2 linked regions of the Lonchura striata genome follow. The protein of the gene in region 1 interacts with the protein of each later gene in a biochemical or structural test. Links are inferred from orthologs where the notes say so. Each region holds a gene or a part of one and is shown in the gene's direction. Other genes may lie near its edges.

Region 1 (9,180 bases):
CCATTCCCTCATCCTTTGCTGAGTCACAGCTCAAAATCTAGCCTGTACCACTGTTAGCTTTAAATGATAGCAAGGTTGCCAGCTAGACTGTCACATTTATCTATGCAATTCTTCCTAGAAGCCAAAAGTTCTTAAGCTTCTCCTCTCTCTTAAATGATTAATAGGATCAATTAGTGCAAATTATTTTATGAATATATATATAAATTTTGTTAAAACAAATAAAAAAGAAATCACTGTACCTTTAGTGCAAGGAAACTTTTACATGGCAGAAAATCCAAATACTAGTTTTATATTACTGAATATTTTATTTTACTATTCGGTATTTAAAATTACTAACAAGTATAGTAAAATAATGAACTTTTTAAAAATACTTGTTCAAAAACAATGGGTTTTTTTCTTATTTCTATCATAGTAGCAATTTAAATAAGTAGTCTAATGAATTACTGATCAGCTATTTCTGGTGGTATACTTCAGGATGAAGGATACAAACATTTCCTCAACAGTGGGAATAAGAAAATGTGCTGATTTCTTTATAGCTATTTCCTAGCTGCCTTTTCTCATCCTCAGAAAGTAGATGAGAGAGAAATTAGGAGTTCTCATTAGATGAGAACTTTAGAGGTTCTAGGGCATATTTTGCATGTGTCACCAAAGACAGTAGCTTTGTCCAGACTTAACACAGGATGATTGCTTTAATTATGATACAGAGCCCTGTCTCAGCTAGCTCACTAAAGGTATTACTGTGGCACTCCTGCTACTTCTTATATTCCCTATTTGGTTCGAAGTAGGGGCATGAGATCCTAGTGAAAAAACAGCACACTTAAATAGAAGTGCATCAAAGAGAATGGTTACTCATTAGTTTTGCCTTTCAATTAGGGCAGTGTCAGTGAGCTTGGTTCAAGTGCAGAGGTGTCCAAATTCCTCTCATTAGTCCCCTACCAGAGTACCTCATTCTGTAGCCTGGCTCCCAAGGTCACCTAAGAAGAGCAACTGGCCAGATCAGCTGCCTGCAGTTAGGGATTTTTTGTCATTATATACATCTTTTCTGTAGTTGGCATTTGATTAATTGGAAGATTGCCTCACACTTTTGTGTACTACTTTAGCTGATACTCCTGTTTTGCTTAAAAATAAATTCAGTTCTATGTCTGCATCTCCAGTGTATTCCTCAATTCACCACCCAGGCATGCTCATGTTCTTCTCCAAGAGATTTTGTATGTGTACAAAACTGTGCCAGTATTTTTTTGCATCTGAGGAAGTTGTGCATGATGGAAGAGTATGACGGAGTGAAAATAAATGCCAGAAAACTGCATTACTCTAAAAGCACTGCATAATGAAACATTTTTAGTAAACTCTGATAGAGCTACAGTAGCAATTAAGTAGCAATTTCTGCAAAGCCCACCTTCTGTTGGTGTTGTAACATGGGATAGAAATCAATGTAATCAATGCAGATGTTTTCCCAATCTTTTCTGTGAATGTGGTCCAGCTTTGGGGTGGGGATGGCGAACACAACTACATTAAAACAACCTCTGTGTTAATTAATAAAAATACTGCCAAGTGCCACAAGAATGGCTCAAAGCACTTTTAAAATCATGCTAGATTTGCCTTTGTTGAGATTGCTGATCTCTAATACAGCAGGAGTCTAAAAGATATTTCCATCTGGGCTAGATTCCGTCACCCATCCTCATGCTGAGCATACCTTATTCAACAATTAGTTCCACTGACTGCAACTCAACATGAATAAGAGCAATGGAATCCATCCCTCTCAGTGTTAAAATACAGCTCACTAAGTGTGAACAGAGCAAAGCTACTAACTGAATTCTAAACTAGTGCTGCATAAAACTACTTCATGTACTACTAGTAATGTTTGACCTACTTGTACAACAACCTTCACCTTTTAAAAGCTGATGACCCGAAACGTAGTTACAGCTTCCTCCATGGTTTACAGCATTTAACAAAGTCCAACATAACAAATAATACATCTTCTAAATTTTTCAGAGCTAGACTTACTTGACTCTTATTTTCCCATGAAGTAGTGCCATGTCTGTTTCTCAGACTTCTCATGTTCATCTTCTAACCAAATGTAACCACATACTCTGAGGATTTAAGTCTTTTTCTCTCCCTTTTCCTTTGCCAGAACATGTTCTGGGCCTTTGCCTCTAAAGACAATTCTGTTAATTCCAGATAAACTCAAAATCAGCTGTTTCCCCAGCCCCTATCCTCCAAAAAAGAAAAGATAAATCAAGCAATTACTGCAGATAATAAGCTCTCCTTGTCCACATGCTGCTTCTGCTGAGGGGGCATACATGCTTGTGAATATGGTCTCAGATTTAACAATACCTGTCAGTTGTGTACAGGATGAATCTATCCATGTTTTTCAATGTAGGAAGTACAATCTGCTTCTGCCTTCCCAGCTTCCTTTTCAATCACATCCTGAAAAATAATATACCAAGGATGAATGTAGAATAGGTTAAGGGAAACAGCTCTTATAGAAACTTTACAAATTCTCTGCTGAATGCTTGTTGAGCCACACTCTCTGTATCTGTACTACCAAAGCAGTGCCCAAACATTCCACACAACCTGGGAAAGCTCTGAATAGCTAGTGCAGCACCAGTACCCTAAACATAGCATCCAAACTGGAAGATCAGGAGAGACCTAATCTTTACAGAAATTATGATTACAGCCCCAGAGGCTTTCAAAGAGGTTTAACAATGGAATCCTTGTAAATGCTTGCCATAAACACTACCTATGGTTGCCTGCTCTCAGAGTGAGGAATGCCCTTGAAAATCTCCAAGTGGAGATTGTTCTGTCCTTCATCCTCTCCACTGTGGCCACACAAAACTGGGAAGAGCATCTCAGGGTTTGTTCTTTGCAAGAACGTTTTTTTTAGGACTCACTGTACATGGCAACATCTTTCTGGACAAACATGTCTTTGGGAATTGCACTGGAAAGTAGATGTTAGTGGTGGCACCAGTAGGGAATCACAGAATCATAATTGTTAGGATTGGATGGCATGTCTGGAGACCAGCATGTCCAAACCCAAAGGAAGGTGTCCTCAAGGGCACTTTCACTGAAAGACTACTGTGTGGAATTCACTTGGTGGTCACAGCCTTCTCCTGACCTTTTCACTTGAAGGAATTCATGCACTTGAGCCCACACTCATGGGCAATTGTTGGCAAGTTCTCTGTAGTTGCCAACAACTGCCAAAGAGTGGGGCTTTGTCCAAGCCCCACTGTTTGTTACCACTTTGCCCAAGGTAATCCCTACTCACTCAAGTCCCAGAGTGTCTTTTCCTGGGGTCACATATAAGCTACAAACACACTAAGGCAGAATAGGCTATAATAATGACTAAAGATTAGGTAAAATTACATTTTTCCAAAAATTAAGCCAATGGTCTAGAGAGAGTTTAAGTGTCTTGAGTGGGTCACACTGCCAGCACAAAGCCTTCATATCCCATTTTACATGTTCAGTTGTTACAGCATAAATCTCTTTCTCATTTAAATGTATTTTACATTATTGTATACCTTGCACTATTTTCAATACAAATTATTTTTACTTTGTTAGCTGTTCAATAAAGATTTAAAACCAACTATCTTTATTGCTTCTGGATCAAAGAACATCTGTAATAACATTGAAATGTCTCCACAAAATTGTCACTCTGCCTTTCAGAAACAGCTGGGAGATACATTTCTAAATGTGTAGGGGTGGCCAGTAGCTGATCTCCCTCCTTGGGACATATTGCTTTTCAGCATTGGGTACTTTGAAAGAATGAATTTCTACGTATAGCTTTATCTTTAAATAAAACTTTTATCTTTTAGAGATACTGAGAGAATGCCATTTACAGTTCTAATCTTGGTCTGTACTCAAAGATATTTAGGCAAGTAGAAAATGGGGAGTGCAATTTAGGAATTTTTGCCAAAAAACAAATCGTGTAACAACAAAAGAAGCCACCATCATGACAGTCCATCTGAGAAGTCATAGGCACAGGGACTGGGAATTGATCATTGATGGATGTTTTTTACCTTTTGCGATTTTGTCAGTCAGCCCCTTATCCCACTGGAAACAGAGCTTTGCTGCTGATTTTGAATGAGCTGAAATTTTGCCAACATTTATAACTGCAGAACAGAAATTATTTTTAGCTTTTGGGACATTAAATATATGCAATTCTATTTTAATCATTAAGTCAGTGAAATCACATAATTGAATTACTTAATTCCTCTGAGGAGAACCTAATTTCTCATCTCAAATGATACTCAAAAAAACAGAGTAAAAACTCTGTCACCCTTGACAGACGATACTAAAATGGGATGCCATTTCCCCAAGCTCCAAACTCTCCCGCTGCTAGAATATAATCCTTCAGCCGTCCAACTGCAGCGCAACCGCAGCAAAACGCCACGGCGCGACCTGAGATCCATCCCTCCCAAGGCTTCCGAGTGAAGGCGAACAGAGCTGGAAGAGGAACCCGGAATGCCAGCGTTCGCAGGGGTTCCCGAGGCAAGGAAGGCAGGCGCACCGCGGCCACGGCGGCGCTTCCCGCTGGGACAGGCCCGCAGCGCCACCGGGCGGCCGCCACCTGCCCATCCCGCCTGTCCGCCGTGTCCCCGCGTCCCCTCTGCCCGCACCTCCCGCCTGTCCGCCGTGTCCCCGCGTCCCCTCTGCCCGCACCTCCCGCCTGTCCGCCGTGTCCCCGCGTCCCCTCTGCCCGCACCTCCCGCCTGTCCGCCGTGTCCCCGCGTCCCTCCTGCCCCGCACCTCCCGCCTCTCCGCCGTGTCCCCGCGGTGTCCCCGCTTCCCCGCCGGCCCGCACGGCCCCTGCTGCCCGCGGTGTCCCCTGGAGCCGCCCACCCCCACGAACGCCCCCGCAGTAATTACCCTTGTGTCCGTGGAGCCGCGGACAGACCTGCCCAGGGGCTGGGGGCTTTTTCCCTGTGAGGAACCAGCGGAGCCGCCACCGGTGTGTTCGGTGCGTCCCCCCGGGCGAGCGGCACCCGGCACCTTCGGGCATCGGGGCGGCTGCTCTCCCCGGCGCGGCGGCAGGGCGGGCTGCTGAGGCAGGAAAAAACAAAACCCGGGGGAAATGTAGCCCTGCGCGCATCCGAGCGCCCGGGCTGCCGCTGCCCCTGCGGGACACCGCGCCCCCCCGCCGCCCCGGCCCCCGACCCGCCCGGCCGCGCCCCCCGACCCGCCCCGCCCCGTCCCGACCCGCCGCGCCGGGGGGCTCGGCCATAAATACGGCCCCGAGTGGCGCTCCCGGACCGGCGCGGCTGCGGAGGGGTCGGGGCAGCAGCCAGCGCTGGTGGCCTCGCCTGGCAGAGGCTGCGAGAGTCTCGGCTCGGCAGAGCAGCCCGGTGGAAGGCCCCTCCGTCCGAGCCCCTCGCTGTCCCCTCTGGCCGGGCCGCTGTCCCCTCTGCCGCCCCCATGGACTTACTTGGCCCCATGGAGATGACGGAGGGCTCCCTCTGCTCCTTCACAGCCGCCGATGACTTCTACGATGACCCGTGCTTCAACACGTCGGACATGCACTTCTTCGAGGACCTGGATCCGCGGCTGGTGCACGTCGGGGGTCTGCTGAAGCCCGAGGAGCACCCGCACCACCACGGGCACCACCACGGGCACGAGGAGGAGCACGTCCGGGCGCCCAGCGGGCACCACCAGGCTGGCCGCTGCCTGCTGTGGGCCTGCAAGGCGTGCAAGAGGAAGACCACCAACGCCGACCGCCGTAAGGCCGCCACCATGAGGGAGCGCCGGCGGCTCAGCAAGGTCAACGAGGCCTTCGAGACCCTCAAGCGCTGCACCTCCACCAACCCCAACCAGCGCCTGCCCAAGGTGGAGATCCTGCGCAACGCCATCCGCTACATCGAGAGCCTGCAGGCCCTGCTGCGGGAGCAGGAGGACGCTTATTACCCCGTGCTGGAGCACTACAGCGGGGAGTCGGACGCCTCCAGCCCCCGCTCCAACTGCTCCGATGGCATGGTGAGTGCCCCAGGGAGGACTCCCTGCCACCAAGGTGCCCTGGACGCTGTTGGTCCAAACCTGAGCAGGGCAAGTCACCTGCCCTTCCTATAGCAGCTGCCTTCTGTACCTCCCCAGGCAGAAGACAAAGTCCTTTCTCGTGCCTTGAGCACTCGCGGCGAAGGGAGGTGGGGTCCCCACATGACAGGAGTTTTGGGAAAGAAGAATCTCATACACATTTTGTTCCCTGGGATAAGAAGTTAGGCAGGTTCCCCATGTCCTGGAGGAGCCAGGGAAAAGCTGCTGGGGGAGAACTTTGGGAAGCTGCCTGGAATGGGCACCCTGGGGGCATTGCCTGTGATCCCGTAGATCCTGAGGCATCTCTGTTTCCATCTTCTGCTGTATCATTACCTTTGAATCCTCTAAGGACAGCAGAGAGCAAGGGCCCTCTAGGACATGGTAGTTACACAGGAACTGGTAAGAGTCTGGGTTTTGTTTTCTTCCATTCATCATTACAACAGGAGGAGTGTCTAAGCAACAAGAGTTATTTTTCTGGACCCTTAAGAAAAAGATTCTCCATTTCTCTTCTCTCGCACTTCATCCCCTCCATAGATCTTTACAAGCAATAGGAAGGAGAATCCAGGCTTTTTGTCTTGATTGTACATTATGGGCATGGGAGAAGAAGGGTGGGTGCCAGAGAGGGTGTCTCACCCCCACATCTTTTGGCTGGGGCTGTAGGTTCAGCCTCTGGTGTGACTCTGGGCTGGTAGGATGCGGTGACCAGAGTCCAGGACAGCTCTCTGGATAGGCCATGAACTGCCCTTTCAGACCAGAGATTGCTTTTTGTGCTCTGGTGGGGATAGTCACTACTGAGTTGTGTATCTGTGATTATGAAAGACTTAACACATTGGAGAGATTTACACAAATTATTCCTCTTCAAGATACAACCTCTTTTAATAGAGGAATTTCATTGTGGATTAAAGTATTGGAAAAAAAATGCATTAGTCAATTTCATAGAGCACTTTCTATATGAAATGGAAATGGGAAGAGAAACTGAAGGAAATACAAAGGAACAGGGTAGACTGAGGCTTTTAAAGAGGAATTAATGTTTAGAAAAATCTTTAAAAACTAAATTAAAAAGACAATTCACATTTCACACAGGTTTCAGGACACTCAAATCTCTCTGTTGTAAACGAAAGATACATGAAGGGCTGTATCTGATCAGAATTCTGGAAAGCCTCATCTCATTTGTAAAGCTGCAGCATTCGATGCAAGGGTGATAACTTTCCTGTGGAACAGCTGTGCCACATAAAATATCCTGGGGTGGACCCCCTTCTAGCCATGTTTTTCCTTACTCAGAGAATCTACAACTTGATGGCATTCCAGACAGGACTGGAACGATGGCCAGAGCCTGAAATATGAAATTAGATGGTTCCTGGGATTTGGGTAAAAGTCTGATCTCACTTGGATTTCTCTCCTTCCCAGATGGAGTACAGCGGGCCTCCCTGCAGCTCTCGCAGAAGGAACAGCTATGACAGCAGCTACTACACAGAGTCCCCAAATGGTGAGTACATGCCCTAAGGGCGGTGTGAAACACCGAGACAGAGGCAGGCAGTGCAGCAGCTTTCCTGTGCCTGCTCCCTGTCCAGCTGGGCTGAGAGAGAAACCTGCCTTTCCAGCCAGCAAGCCATTGTTGCTGGTAGAGGCACTGCATTTCTTCTAGGTGTATTTGCAAATATGGGGATGTGTTATATCTGTATTTCCCATTTTGCAAATCTAACAGTTGGATAGAAGTATGTTATTCTCTGCAACTAATTTCAGCATTATCTATATTCTACATGAAGACTTCGTACTCTATCATTGATCCAAATTGGAGTAATTTATGACTGATTTCAAATCTGCTCTTCCCTTTCTATGGACTCAGTGAAGCCTTAGATCCTCCCTTTCCCCAGAGCAGCACACTGTGGTTGGACCTCTCTTCCATTTCGAAATTACAATCTGTTTTCTGATAATTGGTGTCCTTCACCAATACTCATTTCCTCTGAGTCTTCACATGCCCACAAATGTGTAGTGCCCACTGATGTTAATTACCCACTGGATAATCTGAGCACTTTTTTGTCTGTTTTTCAGATCCAAAGCATGGGAAGAGTTCTGTTGTTTCCAGTCTCGATTGCCTCTCAAGCATTGTAGAGAGGATTTCCACAGATAATTCCACATGCCCTATACTGCCTGCGGTGGAAACTGTTGCTGAAGGGAGTCCCTGTTCCCCTCCAGAAGGAGTGAGCCTGAGTGATGGTGGAGCCCAAATTCCTTCCCCCACCAACTGCACCCCACTCCCCCAGGATAACAGCAGCAGCAACCCCATCTACCAAGTGCTATAAGGAGCCCTCCAGCTGGACTGCACCAAAAACAATTTGCTCCGTTTGGCCTTGCTCAAGACCTGCCTTCTAAGGTTGAAAAGACTTCTTAAGACTTGTTCCAATTCTAAAATATCACTGAAAATTCCTTCAACTATCTAACTTTGCAAACCTGTATCACTTCAAAGTACACATAGTTATTTATTGGTTGTTAAACTAAAGTTATTTAATACATCTAGAGATAAAATTGTATACCATGAAATGGCCAATACTTAATCTGGGCTGTGGGGAATAGGAAGCTGGCTCTTGAATGTGGAGGAAAATAGAAATCTACAGCAGTAGTGGCATGACAGATCCTTCCTATTACTCCTGTTCTGGCCAAAATAAGGTTGTGGACCATTTTTTATAAAACTTTTGTATAATTGTAAATAAGAGTTGCTTTCCAAAAAAAAAAAAAAGAAAAAAACCTAAAAAATAGTAAAATAAATAAATTAAAAAAAAAAAAGCCAAAAATTTAAAAAGGGGAAAAATTTAAAAAATATTTAATATTGCTTGGTTTGTTGTGTCAAACTTTAACTTTATATATTTATACGATGTGGTTGCCAAGAATGTTTTCAACAGTATTCTAAATAAAGACCCTTATTTATAAAATCTGTGGTGTTATCTTGACTTTCGTTAGGGCTTCTAGAATTACTAGTGCATTTAGGAGTGGTATTAGATCTCTGCCTTGGCAGGAAGAAGATACAGGCTCTGATTCAGCAAAGAAATCAAGAACATGCTTCAGTTGCACTACTTTGCATAAATATGCTGCTGTCAAAGGGTCTCCTTTCCTCATATTCTGTTGTGGTCACTGCTAAACCTAAACATCACAAGTCAT
Region 2 (9,289 bases), about 8.6 Mb from region 1:
AAAGAGGGGTTTGGGTATTTTTTTTATTCCTAACAGATGATAGAATCAATTTGTTGCCTGACAAAGCAAACCATGTAGGTATAGTACAGAAATATGAGTCTTACAGAGCAGTGTTTAGGTTTGGAGTAGCCAGCAGAGAGATTCTTCTGTCTCAGCCAGGTGAACAGCTACTGGTGTTGCAAGAGCAGGGCTGGGGGGATCCTCATTAGAGACACTCGTTTGGACTAGGCAAGACTGGATAGCAGAAGTTTCAGAATGTTTAAAAATTTTGTTACAAAGCTACAGAATTATTTTTCTGCCAACAGTCAGTCTTTAGAAAGTGCATTTATGCAGCACACAAATTTGTGTGCTTTCATAATGGTATCCTAAAAGTAAAAAAAACAAAACAAACCCCCCAAAATCTTCAAAATATTTAATGTTGATGACCAACTAGTTTCATATCAAATAAGAAGAAAACTTCTGTGCAGATTTGACAAGAAATGGTTAGGTAAGAATGCAGGATGAAAGAATTATTCCCAAATCCATTATTCAAGCATTCTAAGAGAGCATGATTGGTCTAATCTTCAGAACAAAACCTCAATCATTCAAATAAATAAATAACTACATAAATACATATGTGTTTTTAATAGTTTTCTGCCTAAAGGTGAAAAAAGGTAAAGACATGCATGTAGATAAAATAATTCTGTGTCTTATCTTGGTCATCACAGTACTATTTCAAAGTCTGTAACAGTTTTGCCTGGCACTTAATGGACTTAGTGCAGGGATAAGGATTTAGAGAAGGATCTTGTGGAAGGAATACTGAAAGCTGGTAGCCCAGGATAAAGCCTGGAAAATTGAATGGGTCATTTGTACAGCAGGGTGCAGCTTTCCACAGCCACATGGATCAGACTGAACCATGAGTGTGAGTGTGCAACATGCCAATGTGGGGTGGGGCTGGTTTTTAAGTCAGAATTAAGTACCTTGTTCTAGAGTCAGGATAATGTATTTTTTGGAGATGCAATCTTAAATTTCTGCAAAAGTGTGCATCAAGGAAGTTTCAAAGGACAAGTGGCATAACTAGGCTAGAAAATAATAGAAAAAGTGGAAGAACAGATATAAAAGCAAGGGAATGGGGCACTATCACCCCTCAGCAATGCACATGTGCTTCACATCAAGTCAGTTAAAATCTTTTGTTTCAAAGTGCCACGTGTAACTTAGCATGACTAGTGTCAGTGAAAAATCAATATTTACTTTCCAGTGTTAGAATTCCCATACCTTGACCTCTCTGTGTTGCTTTACTGCAACAAGATGTAAAAGGGAAAATGCTGGTTATTATGAGATTGTGGTGGAACCTCAATGTATGACACTGACTAAGAAAATTTACCTGTAGCCACAGCCCAGTGAATGCATTGGAATATCAGAAATATGATTATAAACACATAACAAGATCACATCTCCATCAAATGAGCTCAGTCTTCAAACACAAATGAGCTCAGTCTTCCCTCTGTTGTGAATCTCTCCTGCTGAGGGAGAAGCATGTCCCACAAGGGGCTGGATTTTGACAGAAACACCTCCAGGCTGTTCGAGATGTAGTGGCAGCTCAAATGCAGACACATCAAAAGCAAACCTCACCGTGAGTGTCAGCTGCAGAGAAAAACCACAGCAGCATTTGATGGCTATTATATAAAGGAAGACATATCTTGTTAGCCCCCGTTGCTGGTGGGGTGAGTACCACTAAGGACGGTCAAATGAGTCACGGTGGTCACAGGACAGGCCACAGCAGAGCTGTGATTAGATACCAGAGTTAAGTTCTGGCTGCAGTAGCATTCCCACAGACTTCAGCTGGGAAAAGAATTTCCAATACGGCCTTGATACTTTGCATTTCAATGTAGACAGGGATGTGTGAGTTTTATATTATTATTGCTTGTGTGTTAGGTAAGGAATCAAGGAATCGGTTTTCTTATCCTCTGAGTTTGGACTAAGCAGCTTAGCTGGGACTAAAATGCAGAGGGATGCAAGGCACACCCTGCCCACCACTCCCACTCAGCATTTCTACTGCCAGTGGTCACAAAGACCAATATTGCCCATTCTGCTTATCCCCTTCAAAGCCATCCTGCAGCACATGTGGCAAATACACAACTCAGCAGTCCATTCAGATAATACCTGAGCTCTAGACTGTCAAATGCTTGAGCACACAGAAGAGAAAACCTTGTGTTTAGCAAGGAAGCACCAGAATTAATTCCAATTAATTCATTAATTAATCACATTTTTCACCTGCAGCTCAGTCAGGCATTAGCACTGCCTTTTACTCCACATTGCATCAGGCCTGAAGTGCATCCACCACCCACTTAGATCAATGGATCAAAATTAATTTATGGATTTTATCCTTATCAATAGCACTTTGATTAGAGAGAGACCCTCTAATCTGACAGATTAGACACCCAGATTTGGACAGTATGACTAAGAGCCCAAAAGAAGACAGATCACAATGTTTTCATGCCTGTTGGGAGCACACCAACACTTCAAAGGCTTCCTTGCTCCAAACCCAGCCTACAAAGTAGTGATATAAGCTCTAAATAATGGGAGGCATGAATCCTTGGCTGCACATCTGATGTATAAATTCTGCTCCATATAGAAGCTACATTCTGAAGAATGACACAAGCTGCTGAACAGCATTTGAGCAAGCCTGAGAATGCTCCTCCAGCCTGACAGCACCCTGAGTGCCCACACGTTGCAACTAACACTCAGAAGTTTCTGTGTCACACATTTCTTACCTTTAGGATGAGTCTGCTCCACTTCCCACCAGATCACCAGAATATAACCGTGTGATGAGCAGACATGAAAAGTTAACTAGATTAAGACAACAAAGTTAGGGAATTTCACAGGGATTTAGACACTGACACCGAATGAAATTATGGGAAGTGGAGACTTTGGATCTATTTTCTTCTGACGACAAATGGGAGACCGATTTCTATTTCTATTGAAAGGATGGAGCTTTGTCCACTGTTATAATTTAGATGAGTACAAAACCATGAGTGCCACATCCCCTGTGGAGATTACCTTCTCATGGTGACCCTGCTGCACAGGCAGCATCTCCAGGGATGGCCACTCAGCTCCAAGGGATGAGCAAAGCCCGGACAGGAGGAGCACAGATGTGCCCTGGTAACTCACCCAGCTGTTCCTCCAGCCAGCACAGACATCATAGCATGCACTCCTGTTCTTACACCAGTATCCTTACAGAAATATTTCTGCCATGCCTTTCTTCTTTCTCCTACAGCTTCCCATCAGGTGATGCCAAAAACCCATGGAAAATGTGTATGCATGCCCAGTCATGTTACTATAATTAGCCTCAGGAACAATGATCCTTCTAAGAGCTTCAACCACAGCCCTTGACAGCACAAGGTTCACTATCAATACTTTATCAGAATTTTTCAGAGATTATTTTTTCCCCTTCAGCTGATGATGTAATTGGAGTTACTTTCCAACAACTATCTTTGCTGCCACAGTTTTGGAGGTTTGGTGTGCCTTTGAGGAGACCTAAGAGAGAGGAAGCAGCTTTACAGAGACCAGAGGTACAAACCACTCTCCTCCCAGCCAGCTGTCAGTGCTGCCTCAGCTGGGAAGGGATTCCACTGGAAACCTGATTTGAAAGGGAACACTGTAGACAAAAAAAAAAAATCACATTTAATTTTCAAGGAAGTGTCACAAAACTGATTTTTATCCACAGTTGCTCTTCCTTCTTTTAAAATGTTTGAAGTATTGCTTGAACTGTTTTTGTAAGAGAAAGCAAAAATGGCACCAATACAAAAGTACTTTAAAAACAGAAGAAAATATAGAATGGTAGAGTGAGAATAAGATTTTACCTACATGAAAGATTCCTTTCTGTTCCATTATCTCACATTTAAAAGAAATTGAAAAACCAATTCAACAGTGCTGTTCAGTGAAAGCTTCACTGAGTGAGAGAGATCAAATTCATCATCTATTCATTGTGCAGAGTTTTGTTTCTTATTTCAGCTACATCAGGGTTTTTTTTTTTTTTTTTTTTGCTTCTCACTTGTTACATTACAGATAAACAGAGTTAGAAAAAAGCTGAGTTTTCATTTCCTTTCTGCATCATTGCTGTTTTGGAACTGCCAGAGCAGTTCTGCTCCTGAGCAGCCTCCCAAGAGAGCTGGGAGGGTCTGGAGGAGATTAACAATGCTGCTGCAGTGTGACAGCAGGAGGCTGGGCTGGCTGAGCTGGGGAGGGTGCTCAGCTGAGCAGAAGTCAGCCTCACAAAGAGGAGGAGAGGTTGGATCTTGCACGAGGATGACAGGTACACTGTCTAGTGAAGGTAGCAGTTACAACAGTGACATTTAATTACACAGGGTTAAGGATATGCTAATAACTGCTGTGGTAAGGCAGAGATGTTTGGATATGCTGGTATCTGCACTGTTATCAAACACAGATTGCAAAACCTGCCCCCACTGCCATGTCTCCAGTGCTATTGCTTCAGTCTGTGTCCCTTCCTTTCGCTGGACAGACAAGTCTTTCATACCACTGCAGGATTTTTGGTGTTAGTTGTCAGAAAGGATTCCCCTCACGGTGCAGAGCTGGCATGCAGACATTGTTCATTTCATTCTGAAATCCAGAAGATTAAAGTGCAGAAGTCACTGAGATGATGATAAGCACAGGACATTAGTCCAATGTAAATATATAGTAAAATGCTAGTCTAAAATGCAACTAATTGAAAAGACCAGCTGCTACATCACTGCTGTGATAAATTCCCCTCTCTCTATCACCTGAGCTCAGAAGAAAATTCTCAAGTAGCAGGCCTGATTCAGCCTTCAAAATCCTCCTCTTAGTTAAAAGTACCTTTTGGTGAATTTAATCAAACACAAATAGTACAAGCAGGCTTCAAAATAACTATAATAAGAAGGTGACTGGTTTTCCAAGAAGGAGGAGGAAGGCCCGTGCCAGGAGCTTGGAACAACCTGATAATTCTGTGTGCAGATGACATCCCAGTCTTTCCAGAAACGATGACTCAAACAAGAAAACAGGAGGGCAGACTGGAGCCTGGGGTTGTTCCAGGTGTGTGACTGCATAATCACAGGGAAAAGCACTCAGCCTGACATCAGGAGACCTGGGCTGGACTCCTGCCCTCCTGTGTGACCTTGGGCAAGGCACTTCAGTACAAACTGGAACAGCAAGAATGGAACAGAAACCACGGCCCTTTGTTTTCTTTGATGTTTAAATTTTAAATACAATTGACAAAGGGAAAAAACCACACCTCAAGCACCTCAGCAACCTGTCCATTATTACTTTACAATGGCTGTGCAGCACAGAGATCTTGTGGCTGCTTCATGAGGAACTCAGAAAAGGTTATGCTGGGGTACAGGAGAGGGCAGTGTTGAAAGAAAATGACTACTTGATGGAAAATAAACCCTAGACCCTCTTTTCCAGAAGAGGGTTGAGTGATCCTAGCACCTTTTCACTGAAACACCTCGCAATCATTTCACATATTTACCATCACAATATTCCAAGCTAAGGAATATCCTTTTTTACGAGAGAATCACAGGGATTTGGACTGTCCTGTCCTCAAAGCACCAGGGTAGCACCCTCACTTCTGCTACCACACAGGTACGAAGTATATTGCAAGTATGCAGTAGCAGTTGACTGGAGAGGGAGGAAAAAAATATATTTTTTTCAGTCAAGCTGTTCCATTTAAAAGAATTCACATTTGCTGTTGCATTTATTTATGTAATTTGATTTCCTAGGTTAACCCTTCAGATAAGGATGCCGAACTGGGGAGGAGGAGCCAAGTGTGGAGCCTGTGAGAAGACAGTGTACCATGCTGAGGAAATCCAGTGCAATGGAAGGAGCTTTCACAAGTCATGCTTCCTCTGCAGTAAGCTGGGCTGAATGGTTTAACATCACAGCACCCCTATAGCTCTGTATAACTCTTCCATTAAAGCCAGAACATTTATTTTTGTATTACTTGGCAGGCAGTTTTGCTGCCTTTTACCTGGAGCAATCTGCCTTTTGGGCTCCTGGCTTTTCTTTGTCCAAATATGAGATGGATTTTGTCAGGGACATGAAGGTGCTGCAGAATCCCAGTATCTAAGTCCATCTCCAGGACTTTCTTCCTTCTGTCCCACAGTGTGGCATACCACAGGTTCCTTCAGGTTAAAAAGCCCAGCAGAACTAAACAAACAGCACTGATCAGACAAAAGGATGATTACTTCTTTACTTTTAGGAGATGATTACTTTCACAGCGAATCCTGACATTAATTTGTTTCACACCTTAAAGCTGAAAGACCCTGGTGTCATCAAAACCTCCCACCAACTCTGCACTTACCTCAGCCTCCTCCCCATATTTCATGTAGTCCCATTTTGAAATGAACAGGGTCTATGCCTTTTCACTTACTCTTTCCCTCCACACTCCTCTCTGATGCTTGGCTTCCAGGAATTTTGCTTTCTCTGCAGAAGAGGTAAAAATTAAAAAACAAAAAAATTTCAGAGAGAAGGTACCAATTCAGCTCTGTTTGTCGTTTGTGGAGAGGGAGAAAGCAAAGAGTTTGCTAAGAAATAAAGACAGCTGAAGAGTTGATTTTGCAGACAATACTTGGGATTGGTACTTTTGCAGTCCGACTCCCAGCATGACAGTTTAGGAGCCACTGAATCCAATTTTCTCCCTCCCTTTCTGGAGGGATAGAGACTTCTTATTTGGAGGCATCAGACTAACTTTATGTGCTTAGCTGATACAGAACAGCTCTTTGCAGAATGAGACCAAAGGACACACCTGAGCTGTCTTTGCCTTTCTCCAGGTGCCCCAAAAGTGATGCCTGAAAGTCCAAATTATGCCTTTGGTGATGCCTAAAAGGCCAAGTAAGAAAAGATTCCCTCAAAAAATTTTCAGTTAACTGACAACCTTCAGCCAATTCTTACAGAATGTTAAAAGGAAAATCTCAGTCTCAACTAAAACTTTCTAAATGCTTCCATGTTCTGCCTATAACAATAAATAGTAAATAAAAATAAAGATCTATCCTAATAGAGCATAATTATGAAGCATAATTACGACTATTACTCAAGTATAGTACAAATTAATTATTTTCTTTTAGTGATTCATGATAAACAACTTACATTCATTAGCTCTATCAAATATTTAGTTTGTTGTGGGGCTTTTCTTGGTTGGTAGTGTATTTTGTTGGGGTTTTTTTGTGTTGTTTTTTTTTTTTTTTTTGGTTGTTCTTTTATTTGTCCCTTGTTTTAAGTCTGAATTAATTATTAATATGTTAGATACTAAAAATAGTATTCCCATCAGAAATATGTTTAAGGTCAAAACTTAAAGATGCATCTAAGTTGCCCAGCTGGCATATGAAAGGTATGTTAATTGGCTTTACTTTCCCCCATGATTCATGTACACTATTCAGAAGCTCTGAATGCCTCAGGATCATCTATCACATTTGTGAACTTTTTTATGAACCATTTATAGGATTTCATTTCTCAACAGAAGGAAACCAATTTTTCCTTAACCCTAAACTCAGGCATGCAAACACTCAATTTAGCTGTACTTTTGTATATTTCTATATAGAATTATTTCAAATATATCTTCTATTTCACATTATATTTGCCCAGACACGTGAAACACACCAGTATTTTTTGGTCAAAGAGTTCAATTTCAGCAGATTTATAAACAACTCAAAGCAATCTGTTAACACAGGAAGAATCAGACAAGCTAAATTATTTCTAACACTCTCTCTGCTCCATAGTTTTTCCCTACAAGTATTGCAAGAGAGAAATTTGTTTCCAGCAATCCCTCCTTCCCATGCAGACTCCTGCTCACCTGCAGACTGATGTTTCACTGACAGCTTTTACCCAAAGTGCAGCTGTGATGGACATTTGGCAGGATCTCACACCACCAACCTGGATCTCCTCAGTGCCGGCAGGAGAACAGGAGCTGTTGGCAGATGACAGGTCTCAAAGTTATTTCAACAGCACTTCAAGGCCTTTTGCTCCATCTGTTGTGGTGAATTAATACCCTATCCCTAAGGTACCAGAAATAGAAACACTTAATCCACTGCTAGAGTTTCCATCATCCCTTAACTCCCTTAGCAAATACAATTATCATCTCAAAGCAAGACTGTAGTATGAGGAGATCAGGTTCACACATTTACAGAAGTGCCTAATTTTACTTCTGTTTAGTATAAAGGTCTTTGCAAATTATTTCTTCCTTCATGCAATACAGGGAGGAGGAAAGCCACAAAGATAACCAGAGAGCTGGGGATGTATACCTAGTTATACTGCCCCTTAACAGGAACCTGGTCTGGGGGTTGGAACTGCATGATCTTTAAAGTCACTTCCAACCCAAACCATTCTAGGAGTCTGTAATAAAAGCTGCAGAGGTTGCAGGATGTAAATTCCCTGCGGTGAATAAATAGGATTGAGAGGAGGACATTGAAAGTAAACGTGGAGGAAAGGTGCTAATCAAACCCTCAGGCAGCTCCTCCAGAACTTCCACTTCTAGACACTTCCAACACCTCTGTATTACACAGCTTTCTGTTGCATACGTGAACTCAGCAACTTTCCCAAGCTATCAATAACCCGTGCCTGGAATGCCCTCTGCAGGGCAAGCATTGTACTAAGGAACCTGAAGAGAAAGTTTTTGCTTATTTTTTTCCCGTTTCTAATCAATCGCTGTTGAACAGTGAAGAGTTTGTAAGAAGTACTGAAATAGTAATGTTTTAGCATACTGCAAAATCGTGGTTTTCAAGAGAGACTCTGAATTGGAAGATCTTCCTCTCTCTCTCTGTGGGGTGGAGGTTGTCTCACGCTGAGTTCCCCAAGTGGTGCAGCAAACACAGGCTCCCTAAGCAGTGAGGAGTGTAGCTACTATATTTTTTCCCCATTGATTATTAAGAGTGCTGTAGAGAACATAATCTGTAATTTGTATTTGTACTCCCTGATGAAAGCTGGGCATTCCTATGACACCTTCTGTCCAAAAGTCTGCCAGACCTTTCTTAGTGAGCTAAGCTAAGCTGTCGTTCTCTGTACCAAAGATGATTTGTAAGAGCTCTGTTTGGGAATGGCTACAGCTACACTCCTGTCATCCTGGAGGAAGTCTGACAGAGCTGACGCTTGCTTTGCCTTGGTGTTACAGCTCCAACAAAAAAATAATGGCAAAAAAACCCCTAATATGTCCTGTCTGACTCCAGAGAGGAGTCAGTGTTAAAGCCTCTTTCAGAAACACACATCAAAACAGCCTGGGCTGAGCTGAGAAAGCCCCCACAGACTCAGAGCAAGTATTCTGAGAAGTTCAGATCAATGTCCC

What was found.
Region 2: the proteins of MYOD1 (region 1) and CSRP3 form a complex in vitro, tested with the Homo sapiens proteins (2 studies listed by BioGRID and IntAct, with this or other methods). The link is inferred for Lonchura striata from reciprocal best matches to the Homo sapiens genes MYOD1 and CSRP3.

Annotation. Positions count from the first base shown.
Region 1 is NC_134608.1:48,598,583-48,607,762, reverse strand, and holds MYOD1 (myoblast determination protein 1), read left to right. Parts: upstream 1-5,261; 5' UTR 5,262-5,412; coding exon 5,413-5,967; intron 5,968-7,431; coding exon 7,432-7,510; intron 7,511-8,076; coding exon 8,077-8,327; 3' UTR 8,328-8,778; downstream 8,779-9,180. UniProt on the Homo sapiens protein: Acts as a transcriptional activator that promotes transcription of muscle-specific target genes and plays a role in muscle differentiation. Together with MYF5 and MYOG, co-occupies muscle-specific gene promoter core region during myogenesis.
Region 2 is NC_134608.1:57,240,807-57,250,095, forward strand, and holds the start of CSRP3 (cysteine and glycine-rich protein 3), read left to right. Parts: upstream 1-5,754; coding exon 5,755-5,866; intron 5,867-9,289. UniProt on the Homo sapiens protein: Positive regulator of myogenesis. Acts as a cofactor for myogenic bHLH transcription factors such as MYOD1, and probably MYOG and MYF6.